Astyanax mexicanus: one gene and its partners. The protein of the gene in region 3 purifies or fractionates together with the protein of the main gene of each other region. This does not show direct contact. Links are inferred from orthologs where the notes say so. Each region holds a gene or a part of one and is shown on either strand. Other genes may lie near its edges. The genes, in order: ppp2r3c, cep350 and cep43.

Region 1 (6,957 bases), on a different chromosome or scaffold from region 3:
TGAAACTCAATACAGTATTGCAAAACAAAAAATATATCAATATATCAATCTTTTCTTACACTCCTATTCTATACAACACATATTTGGAAAATATTATAATGCCATGATGCTTAATGCTATTGCCAATACAGTGTAGCATGTATTCTATAAAATGTTGGCTAGTAATTAACCGTACACCAGCAAAAGCTTCAAGCAGAGCCCAGAATAACTCCAACAAAAATAGGTAAATCATTTTTAACACAGTTAGTGGATTGGAAACATAAGGTAAAGGTAGGGTGTTTCCAATAAATTGGCCACAGTAAGTGCGGCTCTGGTACAGTATGAGTTGCAATATGTTGTAGTATGTAATTATGTTTGTTTTTGAAGGTTTTAAAGGTTAACAAAGAGAAACTCAATATATTTACAGTGAACTGAAGGTCAGTACAGGGTTAATAAGCGGTAGAGCTGCTGCTGGATGTGTGTTTATGAGTGAAGGAGCTGAATAATGAGTATAAATGAGTATAAATGAGTATAAATACAGTAAAAGTGACCAGAAGGTGAAATAATAATAAACTCACGTGTATCAGCATTACCGCTCCACTTCTTCCGCTCTTACTGCAGAGTAACAGCAGCAGCGCAACAGCGCCCCCTACAGCCCGGAGACCCACTATTGCACCCTTTTAACTCATCCCTACACTTTCTATTCCTCAACTTCTATGATATAAATATTATATACACAAACTGTTTATGACTGCATATGAAGTATATGAAGTAATTAGGACTAGTAAAACAAGATTTAGATACTAATATTTTTTGGGTAATTAGACAGCCTGACACTGTTATAGTTGATTTTATTTATTCATTTATTTTATTTATTTTATTTTATTTTTTGTTTTAATTAACTTTTTACATATTGATTTGTTTTAGGTGCCTTTTAACATTTATTTTATAGATTCTTTTATTTATTTATATTAAATGTTCCTCTTTTATTGTTTTTATTTTTTCCCTATATATATATTTTTAGTTTTATTTATTTATCTGTAGTTGCATTCTTATAATGTTTTCCCCAACATCCTCGTTATAGCTAGATTTGCTCTATTAACTTTAACTTAAATAATAAAAAGTAAAGACCATATAGAAAGATTATTATTATTATTATAAGTAATAGTAGTAAAGACTTTTATTTTGACAGAATTGTTTCGCACACTTTGCCAAGTGTTGCTGATATATGAATAGAGTTTCCTCAAGTAAAAACAGCAGTAGATAGATTTGAAATAATAATTGGTGTAATTTTAGGATAAAACTGCCACAGATAATTAGCTACTATTGCTTAAATGTGTTCTGTTTTATTTTTAATTATTATTATTTTTGTATCACTTTTATATGTTCTGTGAATTAAATGTCCTCATATTTTACATGCTGTAGTGATGTCTGCAGCATGTATTGTATTATTTCTTATTTACAGTGACGTGTTTTTAATATATATGTATATAAATATTAATCTGCAGTTAAAGGGAGTGAATGGGTTAATGCTGCTGCTTGTGTTTCAGCCACAGCTGCTTTATTATAGAGAGACTGCCCACTTCCTATCTCCCCTGTTATATATGATGATCATCATCATCATCATCATCATTTTATTCACATATCTGTTTAAGTAACAAGTGTTAAAGCATTTTTTTGTACAAGAAAACAACCTGCTTATTTATTTATTTTTCATTAAATAAAAACGTAATATAATGCGAGCAAGAATATCTAAGATAATTTAAAATAAACCAAACAAAATATTTATTATAAACGACAACACATCTCATTCTTCAACTAACTAAATTTTTAACTCATTTATTTGGATACTTTAAAGTGGACACAGCTTTTAGTTGCTTTTTGGATAACATATAATAATCAAATTTAGCATAAAAAACATTAAAATAGATTACCTTTATCAATTTCAATTTATTATCATCAGGAAGATTTTATTATTTTATTTTCTAAAAAGGATCATCTGATTTAAACTACTGTTAAAACGAAAAAAAAAAGTTTACATTTTATATCTATACTCTGATTCGCTCAATTGGAAAAATATTTAACTAGATCTTTTAAACATGAATGTGAATATCAACATAAAAAATAAAAATAAATGTTTTAGTTTATATGGACGTTTAAATTAATAAATTAATGATTTTGCCTAATTGCCCCATAGGAACCCACTTATTTTTAGACTCCCTCTGCAGCGCCCCCTGGTGGTCAAAATGGAAAACACACAGAAAATATATTCTTAAGTGTGCTCTCTCGCTTTAAGAGACTCTGTGGTAATAGCGCTGGTTAGCTAACAGCTAGGCTAAATCAGCCGATTTTATTTTGGGTGTAATAAAGTGTTATTATGGTTTATTAGATGATCTGCTGTGGTTTAGTAAGTGTGGAATATGGAGAGCGATAAATCTGCGGAGTGGAAGGAGATCCTGAGGAGAAGACTGACCTCAAAAACAGGTTAACTGTAATATTAGCATTAGCTTAGCTGTCGGTTACTATTAGTTATAGCGGTGGGTAATCCAGGTCCAGAAAGTAAAAATCCATCCCAGGGTTTTGTACCAAATGCCTGGGCTGCCCAGGGAGTTGGTACAAAACCCTGGGATGGATTTTTATTTTCTGGACCTGGATTACTCACCGCTAGTATCTAACTACCAAACTACAGTATAAACAATTACAGTCAGTTTAAAAATCCATATTTTTTAAAATAATTATTTATCAGTAGGTGAAAATAACAAGCCTCGTTTATTTATATGAGTTATTTTTATTGTATTTTAATTCTGTATCTGTTTGTTTACATGTTAGCTTGTTGCTAAGATAAAGAAAGTCCTCTGATCTCCTAATGAAAAATAAAATAATCTAAAATAAGATAATCTAAAATAAGATCATTTTAAATAAGATAATCTAAAAAACATATATAATCTAAAAAATAAAACTAAACTAATCTAAAATAAGATAATTCAAAATAAAATAATCTAAAATAATATAATATAATCCAATCTAAAATAATCTTATCTAATCCAAAATAATTGAATCTAATCCAAAAAACATCTATTCTAACCTAAAATAATTCAAAATAATCTAGATAATCTCCTGATTTCCTGTTGTGGATTTTAGAACCAGATCGTTTGGTAAAACCTATAAATAATTTAGTAGATAGAATATTTGAGCTACATTATAATGAAAATATATTTAAGGTGGTAGCTAAATATGTGATTCAGTAATTGTATCATTAATACAAAACTGACAGGTTTACAGACTGTATTTATATGTATTTATTATATAGCTAAATAATGTTATATCTGTTACTGAAATCCGCTTTAATATGAACCCTAATCTACAAATTATATATTTTTTGGCCCGTCGTATATATATACATCTCATACTGGAAGAACTATATGATATATTTAACTAAAACTGCTGATCTGAACAAAAATGATTTAAGCGTATTATTGAATTATTAATAAAATAATAATATATTTTTGTTTGTGTATCAGAGAGCCGGAGTGAGGAGGAGAAGAGAGAGGAGGAGACGGAGCTCTTCACTAAATATTACACTGAATGGAAAGGAGGAGGAAACGCAGAAAACACCTTCAAACTCATCCCTCGCTTTTACTACAGGGTGAGTTACTCCACACTCATCCCTCGCTTTTACTACAGGGTGAGTTACTCCACACTCATCCCTCGCTTTTACTACAGGGTGAGTTACTCCACACTCATCCCTCACTTTTACTACAGGGTGAGTTACTCCACACTCATCCCTCACTTTTACTACAGGGTGAGTTACTCTACACTCATCCCTCGCTTTTACTACAGGGTGAGTTACTCCACACTCATCCCTCTCTTTTACTACAGGGTGAGTTACTCTACACTCATCCCTCGCTTTTACTACAGGGTGAGTTACTCCACACTCATCCCTCGCTTTTACTACAGGGTGAATTACTCTACACTCATCCCTCACTTTTACTACAGGGTGAGTTACTCTACACTCATCCCTCGCTTTTACTACAGGGTGAGTTACTCTACACTCATCCCTCGCTTTTACTACAGGGTGAGTTACTCTACACTCATCCCTCACTTTTACTACAGGGTGAGTTACTCTACACTCATCCCTCGCTTTTACTACAGGGTGAGTTACTCTACACTCATCCCTCACTTTTACTACAGGGTGAGTTACTCCACACTCATCCCTCGCTTTTACTACAGGATGAGTTACTCTATACTCATCTCTCGCTTTTACTACAGGGTGAGTTACTCTATACTCATCCCTCGCTTTTACTACAGGGTGAGTTACTCTATACTCATCCCTCGCTTTTACTACAGGGTGAGTTACTCTATACTCATCCCTCGCTTTTACTACAGGGTGAGTTACTCTACACTCATCCCTCACTTTTACTACAGGGTGAGTTACTCTACACTCATCCCTCACTTTTACTACAGGGTGAGTAACTCCACACTCATCCCTCGCTTTTACTACAGGGTGAGTTACTCCACACTCATCCCTCACTTTTACTACAGGGTGAGTTACTCTACATTCATCCCTCGCTTTTACTACAGGGTGAGTTACTCCACACTCATCCCTCGCTTTTACTACAGGGTGAGTTACTCCACACTCATCCCTCGCTTTTACTACAGGGTGAGTTACTCCACACTCATCCCTCGCTTTTACTACAGGGTGAGTTACTCCACACTCATCCCTCGCTTTTACTACAGGGTAAGTTACTCTACACTCATCCCTCTCTTTTACTACAGGGTGAGTTACTCCACACTCATCCCTCGTTTTTCCTCCGGGGTGAGTTACTCTATACTCATCCCTCGCTTTTACTACAGGGTGAGTTACTCTATACTCATCCCTCGCTTTTACTACAGGGTGAGTTACTCCACACTCATCCCTCGCTTTTACTACAGGGTGAGTTACTCTATACTCATCCCTCGCTTTTACTACAGGGTGAGTTACTCTACACTCATCTCTCGCTTTTACTACAGGGTGAGTTACTCTACACTCATCTCTCGCTTTTACTACAGGGTGAGTTACTCTACACTCATCCCTCGCTTTTACTACAGGGTAAGTTTCTCTACACTCATCCCTAGCTTTTACTACAGGGTAAGTTACTCTACACTCATCCCTCGCTTTTACTACAGGGTGAGTTACTCCACACTCGTTCCTCGCTTTTACTACAGGGTGAGTTACTCCACACTCATCCCTCGCTTTTACTACAGGGTGAGTTACTCCACACTCATCCCTCACTTTTACTACAGGGTGAGTTACTCCACACACCCAAAGCTTTACATGTAGAACTTCCACAAGCAAAGCTATTAAATATTGATTACTCATACATTAAAAGTCCATTAAAGTCCATGTGAGCTGATTTGTTATGAAAAAAAGTACTCCGGTGATCCGGTATAACACTGCTTTAGTCCAGTGGAGGAGTGGGGTGGAGAAAAACAATAGAATTTTAGCTCTTGCTCATGAATATTAATATATGCAAACATATCGCCTCTGATTGGCTTACAGCACTGCAGTGTGGTGAGACGGACAACAGTTAGAAAGTTTTAAAAATAAGGATATTTTTACACTAATAAAAATCTTTGCAATTTCATATATTACTTTACAGCATGTGTAATGTGTAGTTGGAACAAAACGCTGGTGTGGATTTTTACTTTTAACTAGTGTAAACAGAACTGTTCTAAACATCTAAACACCTACCTATCTCTATTGTACTTGCCTGGTGGTGTTTTTCCTCCATAGACTAATTCTAACCATTTGTTTCTTAGTTTTGAATTACTGGGTAAAGTATATAAACACTGATGTGTTATTCGCACAAATAACACAGGAATGAACTGCATGCTGCTCCTAGCGCTGTTAGGTAGTGATGGGCAGATGAAGCCTCATTGTGTGTCCAAACTGTATCGACACTGTGTTGAAGCTGTGTTGCTGCATCAGTTAATGGCGACATCTGCTGGACTTAAAAAGTCATTGCAAGCAACTGTGCGAGGAACTGCATCGGTCACGTGGTTTACCTTAAAATGATACGCGGTCCGACACAGCGGTTCACCTTGTTTGCTCGGTGCATGCGCAGAGGTTTCAGTGTCGTCAGACCCATCGCTACCAAACGATACAGGAAGTGTATCGGTCACGTGGTTTTCCTTAACTTGATACGCGCACCGACACGGGGTTTCGCCTTGATAGCTCGGCGCTTGTGCCGAGGTTTCAGGGTCGTCAGACCCATCGCTACTGTTAGTTAGCTCCTATCTGACGAGACGGCATCGCTGCCCGGCTTCAGCTCTGTCTGTGGGCGGTCCCGAGCCGAGGTGGGCAGGGCCATGAATACTAATTTACGAGTTGATGTAGAAACGGTGCTTTTCCTGATCGACTCGTTTATTTTTCTGAATATTTTCTTTTACTAACTGCTGCAGAACAATGAGGAAGAGTTTCATCATGTGCAGCATCATAAACTACTCAGAGACCCACTGTATTTCACTAAGAATAAGAAAAAGAGGATTTTAGAGGAAGGATATCTTTCAGAACAGCTTTCAGCTTTATGATTATTTTTTATTAACAGCTTCCAGCAGAGGATGAAGTTCTGCTGCAGAAGCTGAGAGAAGAGTCCCGAGCCGTGTTCCTGCAGAGGAAGAGCCGGGAACTCCTCGATAATGAGGAATTACAGGTGATCGTATTGTGATCGTATTGTAATAAATAATAGTTCTTATTGTAACTACAGTATTATGCTTTAATATCAAAACATTGAGGATATGATCAGTGCTTAATAAACAGAAATTTGTTTTATTGAAGGAAATTCAGCAAAATTGAAATAAAATCACTGTTTTATTCAAGAAAGAGTAATTAAATAGCAAAATCTGCTACTGATTTTATACTGTTTATATTAATATCGGAATTCTATCGTATCGACTGAAATAAAGAAATATGTCATGATATATATTTTGGTCATATAG
Region 2 (6,957 bases), on a different chromosome or scaffold from region 3:
ATATATATATATATATATATATATATACACATTTTATGAAACAACCTTTATTAACAGTTTATAACAATAAAAGTTGTTTCATGAAATGTATATATTATATATATGAAATTTATATATATACACACATATATACATTTCATTAAACAACTTTCTTTAATTTTATCTTTAATTTTAATTTAGTTGCACATTGATGTTTACATTTTTCATGAGATTAATGCTTAATACAAAGATGTTTAATGAGATGTTGAATTGCTTGTTTCATACTTAAATATTTAATTTCAATTTAGTTGTACATTGATGTTTATATCTGTCATGAAATTAATACTTAATAAAAAAAGTTGTTTTATGAGATGTTGAATTACTTATTTTGTATTTAAACATTCCATTTCAATTTAGTTATACAGTGATGTTTAAAGTTTTAAGGAATTTATGTCTAATGAGGTATGTTGAAATTTGTTTTATTAAAATACACAGTTCAAAATAGGATATTTTCACAGCTTGAGTCTTACTGAGAATAATTTTCAACAGCAAATACCACATTTTGTTCAATATTACTACTCCATACAAAACTCAAGAAGTACATCATTAGAATTTGTTATTTATTCACAGCATTCACACTCTGTGTTTGTTGTGTAAAGTGTTATTGTTAATTAAGTAGGAATCCTTGTAATGACTCTCTTTACCGAAACATTGACTCTCTTTACCGAAACACCATTCTCTTTACCGCAACACATATTTATTTACTAATTATTTTACTGTTATAAAACAAATTCTAGTTTATAATGGTATTTGGATAAATTGTATTTCTTCATAGGTCATCTGTACTAAATAAGAAATTATACATGTAATTTTTCAGTTAAATATCCTGAAAAGACAGGACATGAATCATGAAATCTGTTGCGGTAATGAGACAAATCATAAAATAAAAAAAAATGGGAAACTTATAAATATAATATTTTCTGGGTTATATACACATATGAGCACAACTGTTAATAATATCTATTTAAAAAGTAACAAATGTGTAACTTTTAAACCATATCTGTTCTGTGTTATCATGTTGCGGTACTGAGAATGTGTGTGCTCTGACTGACTAAAATGGTGCAAAATATACAGAAAAAAATTATAAAATTAAAAAAAAAAAGTATTTCTAAAAAGTTCAGACCCTAGTCTTGCATAACAAAAAGAAATTTTATATTTAAATGCCTTTTGAAATTTTTCAAGTGTGAACCCTTTTAAATCTGTTTTTCGTGAGAATCACCCTATTATGCTATTATAATATGTTATAAATAAAACTCTAGCTTTGAAGTAATATCACTTATCACAATTACTTCTGTAAAAATATAAAGTTAAAACAATTGGTTACTGTGAAAGGACTTAATGTTTATTATTATTCAACAGTAATGGAAGGTGCAGATCAATAAAAAGTGATATTATACTTATATCATTTATATTTATCGGAATTTGATGATGAATGGAACAAAAGAAATGCTACAGAATTGTCGGACTTCACTTTCCCTACTGTAAAGCTGCTGTTTTGGAGATACAACCTTTTTCATGATAGTGATATGTATAGAAACAAAATGGTAAGAAAAGTCTGTCCTAAATAAAATGTTTTAGTTATATCTGAAAAAAATAAATCATTAACACACACACCAATGAAGCATAACATTATGACCACTTTCTTGTTTAATACACCCATTATACATTTGTTTTTTTATTATCTCTAGTTCTTAATCAGTGGGCACAAGACGCCAACAACAGGACACTGTTTGCGTACTAGTCTACAGCAGTACAGCCCTATTCATTCTTTTTGAAGGAGGCGTGTCTACACTACAATGACAGTTAATCGAGTTGTCATGAGAACAGTGAGTTTAGCGTCCTTAGACAGGACTGTTTGTTTATCTGACAAAGAAAAAAATTAACCCTTTAAACCCTTTAAGGTTCACAATTCACTTTCTTATCTTTAAATGATTTTACATACTAGTTTAACAGCAGCTTCCGAATCAGCTATAGTAGATACTGGAGGAAACTGCATTAAACAATATTATTGTCATTTCAAGAACATTTTATTACATTAAGAATATTTAGTCATTGTAATTGTATTTGTATTCTTTAAATATTCTAAATGAATAACATAACATTAAGAAAAACATATTGGGGGCAGGAAAAATGACTGAGGTCATGGTAATGTGTTACACACATTTTTAACATAATTATTGACCCAGTATTATTATTTTTTTTTTTATTTATCATGTAAACTACAAGTTCTCATCTACTCACCGTACAGCACCTCCCAGAGAACCGTGACCCGGCTCCGCCCTCTGGCCTGCTGCACACATCAGGGTCCGGAGACGAAGAAAAAACAACCCTGGACCAAGAACCAACAGTTCATCACATTAGATCAGATTAGCCGTTTCACTCTACTGATTCTGAAGATTAACATCTTGAGGACACTTACATGAGTTAAATTCTACTATAATTAGGGATGCATAGCCACCACTTTATTCCAACCAAGTACAAGCATTTGCATATTTGTACTTTCCAATACAGTTGTTAGTGTAAAAGGTTTTATTGTTATTATATAAATTATATTAACAATTTAAACTTTTCCAAAAAAGCATATTTTTCAGAATAATCATGTGATGTCAGGACTACATCAACCAATCCTTAATCCTGGATATATATATGGAAATATTTGGAGTGCATTATTAGTTTCTTGACATCCTGGATCATTGACTTCTGTTACAAATCTGATACAATTACTGTATTTTTTCATATCTCAGTTAGGGGTGTGCAATATCATATCGTATGCAATAATACATTTTATTTTTATTTTTTTTTTTAGCAATAGTGCATTCTTGAAATAATTTTTAAAATTCAGTGTTATGTCATATCGCCAATAGTATCCTCATTGCGAAAATACCATGAATATCATGATATTATTTTAGGGCCATATCGCCCACCTCTAATTACGAGTAACCCCAGGAGTACTTGTAAAAGTAAATGAGCATGGTACTGAGCAAATATCCAACACCAGTATTAGTTTTTATGCATCTCTTGTAAGAAAATAGGGGAATAATAGTATATTAAAGTAGATCTAGGAGTTTATTTAACAACAAGGCCCGCCCACTAGATAACAGTGTTGTACTGTGGCATTAGATTCTACTTATCTGATTGGATAAAAAGTAAAGTTTGATGTATAATATATGTGGTATAAACTGTTTTGTTACAATTACGCATGGGCGATATGCCCTTAAAATAATATCAATGGCTGATAAATAAAAAGACAAATACAATTCTGACACATTAAATATTTTCCACACTATGCATACAATGAAAAGGCTGTGTATTCTTAGCTAGTAGTAAATATACTAAAACTGACATTAATGTTTTTAAACATGGATGTGAACATTTTTTAAGTTATTAAAAAATAGTATAGTTTGTAATTACAAATTATAATTCGTTAATCGTTACGGTCCTACAGCAAACTGGCTACTAACTAAAAACAAAAATGTAAGATTTAAAGTGACAAGTATTTAAAGTGGCAACTTTTTTCTGGTAAGTCAATCAATCAGTTACAATCTTTATAACCTCTTTTTATTATTAAACGTTATTATTCCTCTATACTGAGCCCACAACTCCTCAAACTGAAAGAAATTTAAGAAGAAATGTAGAAAATCCGGTTATTGCTAGTTTTACTTTCACGTCAAGTTGCCTAGTAGTCAGCAATCTTCCGTTCCACCTTAAATGCTGCAGCAGTAACCTTAGTAATTCCTGAGACGCCTGACTGTCACTGCTGCACTAACGCTACTTAAGGTGGAACGGAGAATTACGAACAAGGAACCAGTGTCAGCTGCATATCATGAACCAAGTTGACAACCAAGCTTTTAACATAGCCAGGATTCACCAGAACAGTCCGAATTATTTAAATAAAGCCTAAATAATAACTAACTTGTTTAAAAACTCTTATTCACACGAAACAGAAACCAGGTTAGCCTTTAACTGCATTTCCACACATTTACCAACAAAACAACCCAAACACAGAAACACCGCAGCAGAAAACACCCCAAAGATAATCTCTACAGCTCTGTTATTAACTCATACAGATAATAAAACTGGAATTTGACAACAGAAAACTAAAAATACACTAAAATAAACATATCCACTAAAGTTCCCCGCTAACCGCTAACGGCTAACCGAGTTAGCACCGGCTCTCAGAACACTCCCACACCCGGGGATTAAACAGTCCGGTCCGCTGCTGAACACTCGGGTTCGGATGTTTTGGTTCTGCTCACCTGGACGCGGCGGGTAAGCCCGTATCACTGTGTGTCAGAAAGTGTGTAGAGCTGAGTATAGAAGGGTTAGCCTCTCTCTCTCTGTAATGGAGCCGTTAGCCGCTCCGCCATTACACAACAAACATACGGAGATCTCGCGAGACTTCCGAGCAACAGGTTCGTACAGATGGGAGCCACCTCCCCCCTAGCGGTCAGGTTCGGTACCTACAGTAAAATTTAGGTCATTATCATCACCAGAACTCTATCACCGTTTTAATGCTACACCTTTTTGTTTTAAATGAATAAAGATGAATATTTATACTGTTATTTGTATATTTTATGGGGTAAAAGTCCAAAGAAATTGTCAATGTTTTCCTTTATTTAATATATTTTCTGCATTGTAGATTAATATTAAACACATTTCATAAGAAATATTAACACATAACCATGCACATATAGAATTTAAGGTCGGATATATATATATATATATATATATATATATATATATATATATATATATATATATATATATATACATAACGTTAAAAAAATAATAACACTTGAATTCTTGGATAAAAAAGGAGCTGACGAAAAATACTAAATCTACAGCTGCTGCACTTAAGGTGGAACAGAAGAAAAAGAAGCCAACATAGCTGTTTTTTCTCCAGCTTGCAGCCTTGTGCCACCTTAACTGCATTTTTAATGCAAAAAGAAAAAACAACAACAAGTTCATATTCATAAAGTTTTTAAAGAGTTCAGAAATCAATATTTGATGTTTTTTTTTAAATAAAAATAACCCTGTTTTTTAATCACAGTTTTCATGCATCTTGGCATGTTCTCCTCCACCAGTTTTACACACTGCTTTTGGATAACTTTATGCTGCTTTACTCCTGGTGCAAAAATTCAAGCAGTTCAGTTTGGTTTGATGGCTTGTGATCATCCATCTTCCTCTTGATTATATTCCAGAGGTTTTTCAATTTGGTAAAATCAAAGAGACTCATAATTTTTAAGTGGTCTCTTATTTTTTTCCAGAGCTGTATATATTAATTTAGCTATTTTAATAAAAATACCAATCACACACACACACACACACACACACACACACACACACATATATATATATATATATATACAGCCTTGGACACGTCAAAATAGATTGGTATTTTTATCTATTAATGAATAACTAAAACCTAAATCATTTTTATATAGTCTTAAAAACATTAAGAAAACAACATAGTTTTATATGCCATGTACCATTTAAAAATGAAAGAAAACAGTATTTAAAATGTATTATTTTAAAAATTCCAGTATATTTGAAATATGTGTTTATTGAATTATTAAATGTATTTTTAGAATACAAATGATATCAAGACAGATGTGTTTCCTGTTCAGAGTGAAATAAAGTTCTGTTTAAAGTGTTTCTGTCCGTCTGGATCTGTTCTGTTCCGGTCCGCTCGGCTGCAGTGAGCACTCAATGATTTACTTTCTGAAGATGAAATGTGGTGCAGTATATCAGAGCTGAGCCAAATCATTTAGGAGAAAGTAAACCAGCACTGCAGCAGGAAACCATCAGCACCAGTGCACGGCTATGATACATCTCACTCTCCTGCTCAACAGCTCAAAACCTCAACACATCCATCTCCTATTATCTTGTCTCTCTCTATATACCAATACTATATACCACCATTCCAAAAAATTTAATAATTTAAAGTGATGCTTCTCAAATCAGTTGCGACAGGGTCAGGTAATAGTCAGAGAAGTAAGGAGAGCAGCTGTTGGAGTTTAGGAAGATAAATATTTTCCCATTCTGGACTGAAGGAGGATTGTATCTCATCAACAGTCCTGGACTTTTTTCTTTCATGATGCACCAATTGTTTTTTCTCCCCAATTTACACGGCCAATTACCCAACCCACTCATTAGGACTCCCTCTATCACTAGTGATGCCCCAACACACCAGGAGAGTGAACACTAACACATGCTTCCTCCGATACATGTGAAGTCAGCCACCGCCTCTTTTCGAGCAGCTGATGCGCTCAGAGCAAAACGCAGCAGTGTGGTTCTGATACATCAGCTCACAGACGCCCTGTGCTGCGGACATCACCCTAGGAGTGATGTGGAGTGAGAGCGCCATCTACCCACCCGGAGGGAGCAGGGCCAATTGTGCTCCCTCTGAGCACCGGCAGCTTGATGGCAAAGCTGCATGAGTTCTAAAACCTCTTTATACTTTCCAGATGTGTAAAATGCCCGTGAGCTATAGTTGCAAGAAAAACTATGTAAACCCTTTGGGATTATACTTGGATTTCTGCATAAATTGGTCATTAAATATGTTCTGATCTTCATCTAAGTCACAACAATAGACAAGCACAGTCTGCTTAAATTATTAACACACAAACACTTATATGTTTGCATGTTTTTTATTGAACACAGCGTGTTAACAATTACAGTTAGGGTGGAAAAAGTATGTGAACCTTTGGATTTAATAACTGATTGATCCTCCTTTGGCAACAATAATCTCAACCAAACGTTTCCTGTAGTTGCAAATCAGACCTGCAGAATTTTGGACAATTTCTCATTACAAAACTGTTTCAGTTCAGCTATAATATTCTTGGGATATCTGATTGGGTGAATCGCTCTCTTGAGGTCATGATGCCACAGCATCTCAATTGGGTTGAGGAGGTCAGG
Region 3 (6,957 bases):
TAACATACCTTGGGAATGTGCATTACTCGATCTCCCTGCAAAAAATGAAAGAATAAAATTATTTATACATACAAGATTTTAACTAAAATACCTGACAAAATATAATATGCAGATACGCTCACCTCAGAAAAGATGGAAGCTCTGTCCTTATGACGGCCCCTCTTTATTACCTCAAGGAGGAGAGGAGTGCTCTTATTCCCTTCTGATTCCGAGAGGCCGAGCTCTCTGAACAAACTTTCCCTACCATCGAGCCCATTTAACTGGATAAGACAAGAAATACACATACTTTTAATGACAAATGTTTAACAGAAGTATAACACATATCATTAAAATACACAAAACAATTAAAAATATATCTGAACAAAACAATAATTTTAGTTGCATTTAATTTCTATTCAAATTTATTCAAGCTATAGTAGGTCATGCACTATGTTTTCCATTGTCTATTTTCTATACTTGCTATTTTTAATTACAAATCTGGCATCTGTCTGTTATTTAGTGTCAGACTTTTCTAACAAATAGACCAATAGAAACACACCAAAATTACTTTAAAATTAATAAATAAAACTTTACACTGACTTTCCCTGAACGTTTTGCTATTTGGCTATTGTGATATATACAGCTCTGGAAAAAAGAGACCACTTAAAAATGTTGAGTTTATTACATTTTACCAAATTAAAAAACCTCTGGAATATAATCAAGAGAAAGATGAATGATCACAAGCTATCAAACCAAACTGAACTGCTTGAATTTTTGCAACAGGGGTGACAAAGTTATCCAAAAGCAGTGTGTAAGACTGTTGGAGGAGAACATGCCAAGATGCATGAAAACTGTGATTAAAAACCAGAGATATTCCACCAAATATTGATTTCTGAACTCTTAAAACTTTATGAATATGAACTTGTTATTTTGCATTATTTGAGGTCTGAAAGCTCTGCATCTTTTTTTTTATTTTAGCCATTTCTCATTGTCTGCAAATAAATGCTCTAAATGACAATATTTTCATTTGGAATTTGGGAGAAATGTTGTCTGTAGTTTATAAAATAAAATAACAATGTTCATTTTACTCAAACATAAACCTATAACTATTAAAATCTGAGAAACTGATTCAGAAACTTTTTTCCAGAGCTGTATATTCACATATATAAACATAGATCAGCCATATTATCACAATTCTAACAAATGAGGTAAATACCACCAATTATCTTACTACAATAGTACTGCTGGTTAATGGGTGTTAGAAACATTTTGGGTATTGACAGTTTTTGAAGATGATATGCTGGAAGCAAGCGATATGGGATCTGATTCATTGGGACAACAGCCAAGAGAATGTACACAACTGCAGTTTGTTATGTGTTCCTGATACCTATTAAAATGCTTCAAGTAAGGACAACCAGTGAAATAGTGATCTTCTGATAAATCAGACCAATTTGTGCCATGTTTAGATGATCAGCACTGACTGAAGCCTGCACTCATGAGTTTTATCATATTAAAGAAAAAAAAAAAAAAAAAGTCACCCCTTTCAGTCTGGCTGCTGTGGCACAGTGTTACAGCTACCCCTTGTGTCTATTTCACAAATAGATGCTGGAATACATAATGTTTCCTCAGTAAGAATGAAATTTACTATGTTTTATTAGCTGAATGAAGAACTAAGAGAAATGTTGCAGATTAAAAAAAGGCATAAATGCCTTGATGACATAAATATGCCTCAATGATGACATAAATGCCTCAATGATGACATATTGTAATGTAATATTAAACTTGTGTCTTATGCGATAGAATATTTGGAAATATCTCTTTGAACACTAAGTAGTTTAGGTGAGTTCATTGAACTATCTTAGTATATTTACTACGTTCTATTTTTAACACATTGATATTAAATAAATAAATAAATAAAAACTGTGATATACACAATATTCTGCAGTTGGTTTGAATGTTATGAGCATGGTAATAAAACAGAACATATACTGTACCGTGTTAATTTCTGGCTGAAAGACTGCAAGAGTGAAGTCTAAATTAAAGACTTGTAGGAAGTCGGTGATTAAACTGGCCACAAGGCGTCCTGCGAGAGAAGGACCCCAGTTATAAACAAGGCTAAAGCTCTGAGAAACAGTGAGGGAGAACAGCAGCCCTGCAGCTTCACTTACCATCTTTAGTGTTCAGACACTTCTTTAGATTTTCATTTACAAGTGGGGTTTTATTCTAGAGAGGACAGGAAGGAGACATTAATATCTAATACATATTACATACTCATATAACAGATGTGTTGCTACCCTATGGAAGCCTTTTCTCACCACAAAGAAAAGTAAACTGCTATCTTATTATTTTGAAAAAGTAAGACATTATTATGGAATACTTATTCACTATTTTGAAATCATGTTTTATTACTTTGAGATAGTAAGTCATTATTTTGAGATACTAACACACTGTACAGAGACAGAGGCAGGTGAGACAAAGATGCAACATTGTACAATCATTGAGGATTACTTTAGATGTAGATTTACAAATCATGAAATATTGGTGCTTTTAGAGGAATCAAACAATATCAAAATAAACCTCCGGACCTGGGAGAGAAGGCTATAGAAGAGCCAGCTATGAAAGGAGGAAAAACTACACAAATATAGCTGAAGTGGAATCCTTTATTAACCAACAGCTGCAGACATCTGTAAAACAACACGGATACAGACGAAAATAATGATATAGTATCTCAAAATAACGACTTACAATTTCAAAATAATGAGATAGTATCTGGAAATAATGAAAAATATATATATTTTTATTTTAGGTGGCAGGATGGGGCTTCCATATCACTCAGCTAGCTCTCAGTACAGAAGCTTATGATAAACAGTGATTTATAGAGAAGAGTTGAGTGAGTTAGAGTTCAGACTGCTGCTCCACTTTACCTCCACTTTATCCTGCTCTTCTAAAGCCAGAAACACCGCAGCTCGAAGCTCAGCCTGCAGAACAACACCGGCTACACTCAGATCACACTTCAGTAAACCAGAATTAACATATTTTTTATACACATTAACTTACACACGTTTACACACACACGTTTACACACACACACACACACACACACACACACACAGAAAAAACACAAACACAAACACAAACACACACACAAACACAGACATACACAGACATACACATACACATACACATACACACGTTCTTTACTAGCCCGTGTTTAGAGAAGAACTCAATCTGTGAGTTCGGGGGAGAGCTCAGTGGTTCAGGTCTTCAGGTTATCTCATAGTTACAGTTTGTTGACACTACAGTTCAGCTAGTCAGCAGGCTAACCCAGCTGTAGCTAAGCTAAGCTAACCAAAACTTTAGCTCTCACTGCTGTACTAGAGTGAACTAACGTTACCTCACTAAGAGTCAACACACAGCCTCAGTAAAACTCTCCACTATCACCAGCTGTAGCTTCAGGAGTACCTTAATCTTGTTTAAAACGCCGTTGTTTTCCAGGTTCTGGATCAGGAGGTCTCTCAGCTCCGTGTCCTCCTCCGTGGCAGACATCTTCAACCCCACTGTCATGTGACCACGCGGCGCCCTCTGCCGGCGGACTGTCTTCATTACAGCTGAGGTGAACCGGCCGGTAGTATGTGTGACGACGCCGCAGAGCCTGCCTCCTGTCATGTCATCGTGGCCGCCATATTGGAGGAGTCAACCTTACGACCCAGTGCATTTATTAGTACTAAGGAAGGTGTTTAATACACATATAAAAATCACAACTCTACCAATATTTACCCGATTTTACCACGGTTTGGTTTGTTACAAACAGCAGAGATATAATTTAGTAACAGTACAGGGCAAAATACCTGCTTAGGGCTGTCAACGTTAACGCAAGTTAATTAAATCACCAAGTTTGACCCCTACTTCCGCTGTAATCTGCCCCAGAATCTATGGCTGCGTCCAGAAACTTTTGCTACTCCTCCTCTCCTACCCCTCCTTTCCTACTCCTCCTCTCCTACCCCGGAAGAAGGTGGAGGAATCGAGGAGAGGAGAGGAGGAGGAGGAATGGAGGGAAGGAGCTGTAATTGGGGAAATGGGACAGCTGATCCCTTTTAGATAGGATGTTGACTACCGTTGAACTGAGCCAATCACAACGCTCACTTTCAGCACGTTTCATAACATTACTATCACACACAGCCAAAAATTCAGATATTCCAATAAAATCCTGTTTACTCCCAGCCGCATTTCAGAGTGTGAAGGTTCAATTAGCAGGGTAAGAGCACAGTTCTGTTCAAAATATTGCATGTACACATAAGTGCCTTAAATATTGCCTTGCCTTTATTTCAGGTCAAGAAAACATCATTAACTTGATCAAGTCGTATTTATGTTATTTTGCAGATGCAATGTAAAACAGAGAAGATTTATACTTATGTTAAACCATACCATGTTTACAAGATAGAAATGTCAGGAAACCACTTGTCAATGTAAGAATGCACAGCTAAATTATCTTCATTGATTAACAGTTGTTTGACACATCCAAATGTACAATTTTCTGTTCTAATTTATTAAATGATTAATAATATTCCCATAAATCTGTAAATAAAGTGTTAAAATGCATATTTAGTTAGATGCATCAGCCTCTGTTACTTAGTATTAGCATATGTATATACAGGTAAAAACAACCGGGATCAGATTTAAGCGTTAAATAACCAAACAACATCTAGACTGGCTGATGCACAAAATAATGGATAGGTCGCATCTGCTTTGCAATTCCACAATGCAAAATGTGTTTGATGGCTAAGAGCAAGGATTTAATTGGTTAATGCAAAACATGATTGACAGGCTCATATCCCGAGTCCCCGCCCATTTAACCGCTAGAGGGAGCCCGCGAGTGAGTCTAAAATAATTGGGGGTGAATCACATTAAAAAGAACAATAAACTTCTTGTCCGAGATATTCCTTTAGCCCTTTCAGACCCTGCATCCATTACAATAAACATCACGTATTTTGTTATTTTACATGTTTGTTGCAAAAAAGACTATAAAAAAAACATTTTATTTTCACTTGCAGGCATTTACCCACCCTTTAATAGTTAGATACATGACAGGGAGAACAATGACAGGCTGAAGAGTTTTAGTCAAAATTGGCATTAAGTGAAAACATGGTTGAACTGCGCACCTTTTTTTGCAATTGTTCATGGTGACCTTGTTCTGCATCAAGGATACACATTAATGTTTTTCGATTCATTTAATTGCTGAATTTTATCTGGATATTTAATTTTGTTTTTGAACCATAAGAAGCCAGATGAAAACAAGCTTAAATGAAATAGGAGCAATGAGGCTATTTTAAAAATGTAAAAATTAGAAAGTACAGATAACTGTGTGAAAATGTAAAGAGTAGAAGTAAAAAATAATCGGAAAAATTACTCTATTAAAGTAGAGCTAACCCAAATTTCTACTTAAGTAATGTAACAAAGTATTTGTAGTGTATTACTTCAGGAGGGCTGTGAACACATCGAGGCGAGGAGACATACAGTGTGGCAACACAAGTTTTTATTGAGTAACAGATGTCAACACCAGCATGATAAAAATTGTACAAAGTTCACAATTTTAAAATGAAATATCACTGCAACGTGTGATCTTGAACATTTACAGCAAAAAGTATCATATCAACCAAAATCATGCCATGTGATTAAAAAATAATAATCATAATAATAATAATAAAATAGGGAGAGAAAGAGATAGATAGAGAGCAAGAGACCAAGAGAAAGCAATGTTTCTTTTTTTTTTAATATAAAATCCTGTTTTTTAAAATGATTGGTTGAAGTCCTTTTCAAATGGAACATCGTAACCTGATGATTTCACAATTAGTAATAAGAAATGTATTCTGCATTCAAGCATGTGATAGTGTAGTTAGTGTTTTTCTATTTAAATAGTTACAGATAATGTTCTTTTTTATTAGATACTGCAGTATTTTAGAACAGAAAGAGAGCAGCAGAATTGTGCTTTAACTCCTTTTTTCCTGTCGAATCAGTTATGATAGGTAATGAGAGGAAATTTTGCTATCGGTCTATTAGAAGCGTTATTATATTGGCAGCTGCATACACAAAGCTTTGGAGAGAGAGGAGGAGGAGGAGGAAGAAGATGGAGAGGCAGATATTTTGACCTGTTAGTCCATTTGGATGCATGAGGCATGAGGATGACTAGCACCTTCGTGTGAATTAGTCAAAAATACAGAGCTAGTCTAAATGAAGAAAGAAACGGTGAAGAAATGGCACGGTCGGTCCGTGTATATTCACCGTCGACCGAAATCCGTTCATTTTTGCAATCTCTGTGACAACATGATATAGAGGCTCATGCATTAGTGTACACAACCCACTCGTAAACCACTGAACTCAGGCCTTCACACTGTTCTGACAACGGCTAACATGATCTACTGAACTGAACCAGACAGACTGGGCTGCTTTACAGGGCTGAGCTCTAAAGTGTGCCATAGGATGGTACACTCTGGGGCAGCTACACCTGACCCTGAGGTCATAATGGCCAATTACAAGCATTGAGGGGTCTAAAGTCTCCCAGCATTGAGCTGTGGAACAGCAACTATGTTCCAATCCAGTAGCTACAGTTTAAGCTGGAGTGGAATTTGTGCATCAGTACCAGACCTCACTAATTCTCCTTAGCAGTAGAGCTGAAAAGATGCTGGTTTCCCAGACTCTAAATAACCCAAGCCTTATGTACATGCATTTTAGTATTCCCTATTGATAGTACACTTGAGTTTAGGGGTGTTTTCATGTGATTAGCTGGGGTAGGTGTGAATACTGTAATCACAACTAAGACCCCTGGGAAAAGGTGCTCTTGGTTTGGTCCCAAATGAACTAAAAAAAACAGTAAACAAACGTTCTCATCATAAAAACAAGCAGTTTTTATGATAAGAACGTGATCTGACCTTATCTAAACCCAACTATTAGGTGAACTCCACAAGTATGAACTGGTATTTT

Evidence for each region.
Region 1: the proteins of cep43 (region 3) and ppp2r3c purify together in Homo sapiens (affinity purification with mass spectrometry; 3 studies listed by BioGRID and IntAct, counting the BioPlex papers as one, with this or other methods). This does not show direct contact. The link is inferred for Astyanax mexicanus from reciprocal best matches to the Homo sapiens genes CEP43 and PPP2R3C.
Region 2: the proteins of cep43 (region 3) and cep350 purify together in Homo sapiens (affinity purification with mass spectrometry; 6 studies listed by BioGRID and IntAct, counting the BioPlex papers as one, with this or other methods). This does not show direct contact. The link is inferred for Astyanax mexicanus from reciprocal best matches to the Homo sapiens genes CEP43 and CEP350.

Annotation. Positions count from the first base shown.
Region 1 is NC_064421.1:1,125,052-1,132,008, forward strand, and holds the start of ppp2r3c (serine/threonine-protein phosphatase 2A regulatory subunit B'' subunit gamma), read left to right. Parts: upstream 1-2,284; 5' UTR 2,285-2,399; coding exon 2,400-2,463; intron 2,464-3,500; coding exon 3,501-3,625; intron 3,626-6,566; coding exon 6,567-6,671; intron 6,672-6,957. UniProt on the Homo sapiens protein: May regulate MCM3AP phosphorylation through phosphatase recruitment. May act as a negative regulator of ABCB1 expression and function through the dephosphorylation of ABCB1 by TFPI2/PPP2R3C complex.
Region 2 is NC_064419.1:9,458,137-9,465,093, forward strand, and holds the start of cep350 (centrosome-associated protein 350), read right to left. Parts: upstream 4,418-6,957; 5' UTR 4,296-4,417; intron 2,369-4,295; 5' UTR 2,281-2,368; intron 1-2,280. UniProt on the Homo sapiens protein: Plays an essential role in centriole growth by stabilizing a procentriolar seed composed of at least, SASS6 and CPAP. Required for anchoring microtubules to the centrosomes and for the integrity of the microtubule network.
Region 3 is NC_064408.1:75,013,257-75,020,213, forward strand, and holds the start of cep43 (FGFR1 oncogene partner), read right to left. Parts: upstream 3,991-6,957; 5' UTR 3,828-3,990; intron 3,678-3,827; 5' UTR 3,646-3,677; coding exon 3,442-3,645; intron 2,958-3,441; coding exon 2,904-2,957; intron 2,203-2,903; coding exon 2,148-2,202; intron 2,063-2,147; coding exon 1,974-2,062; intron 261-1,973; coding exon 123-260; intron 36-122; coding exon 9-35; intron 1-8. UniProt on the Homo sapiens protein: Required for anchoring microtubules to the centrosomes. Required for ciliation.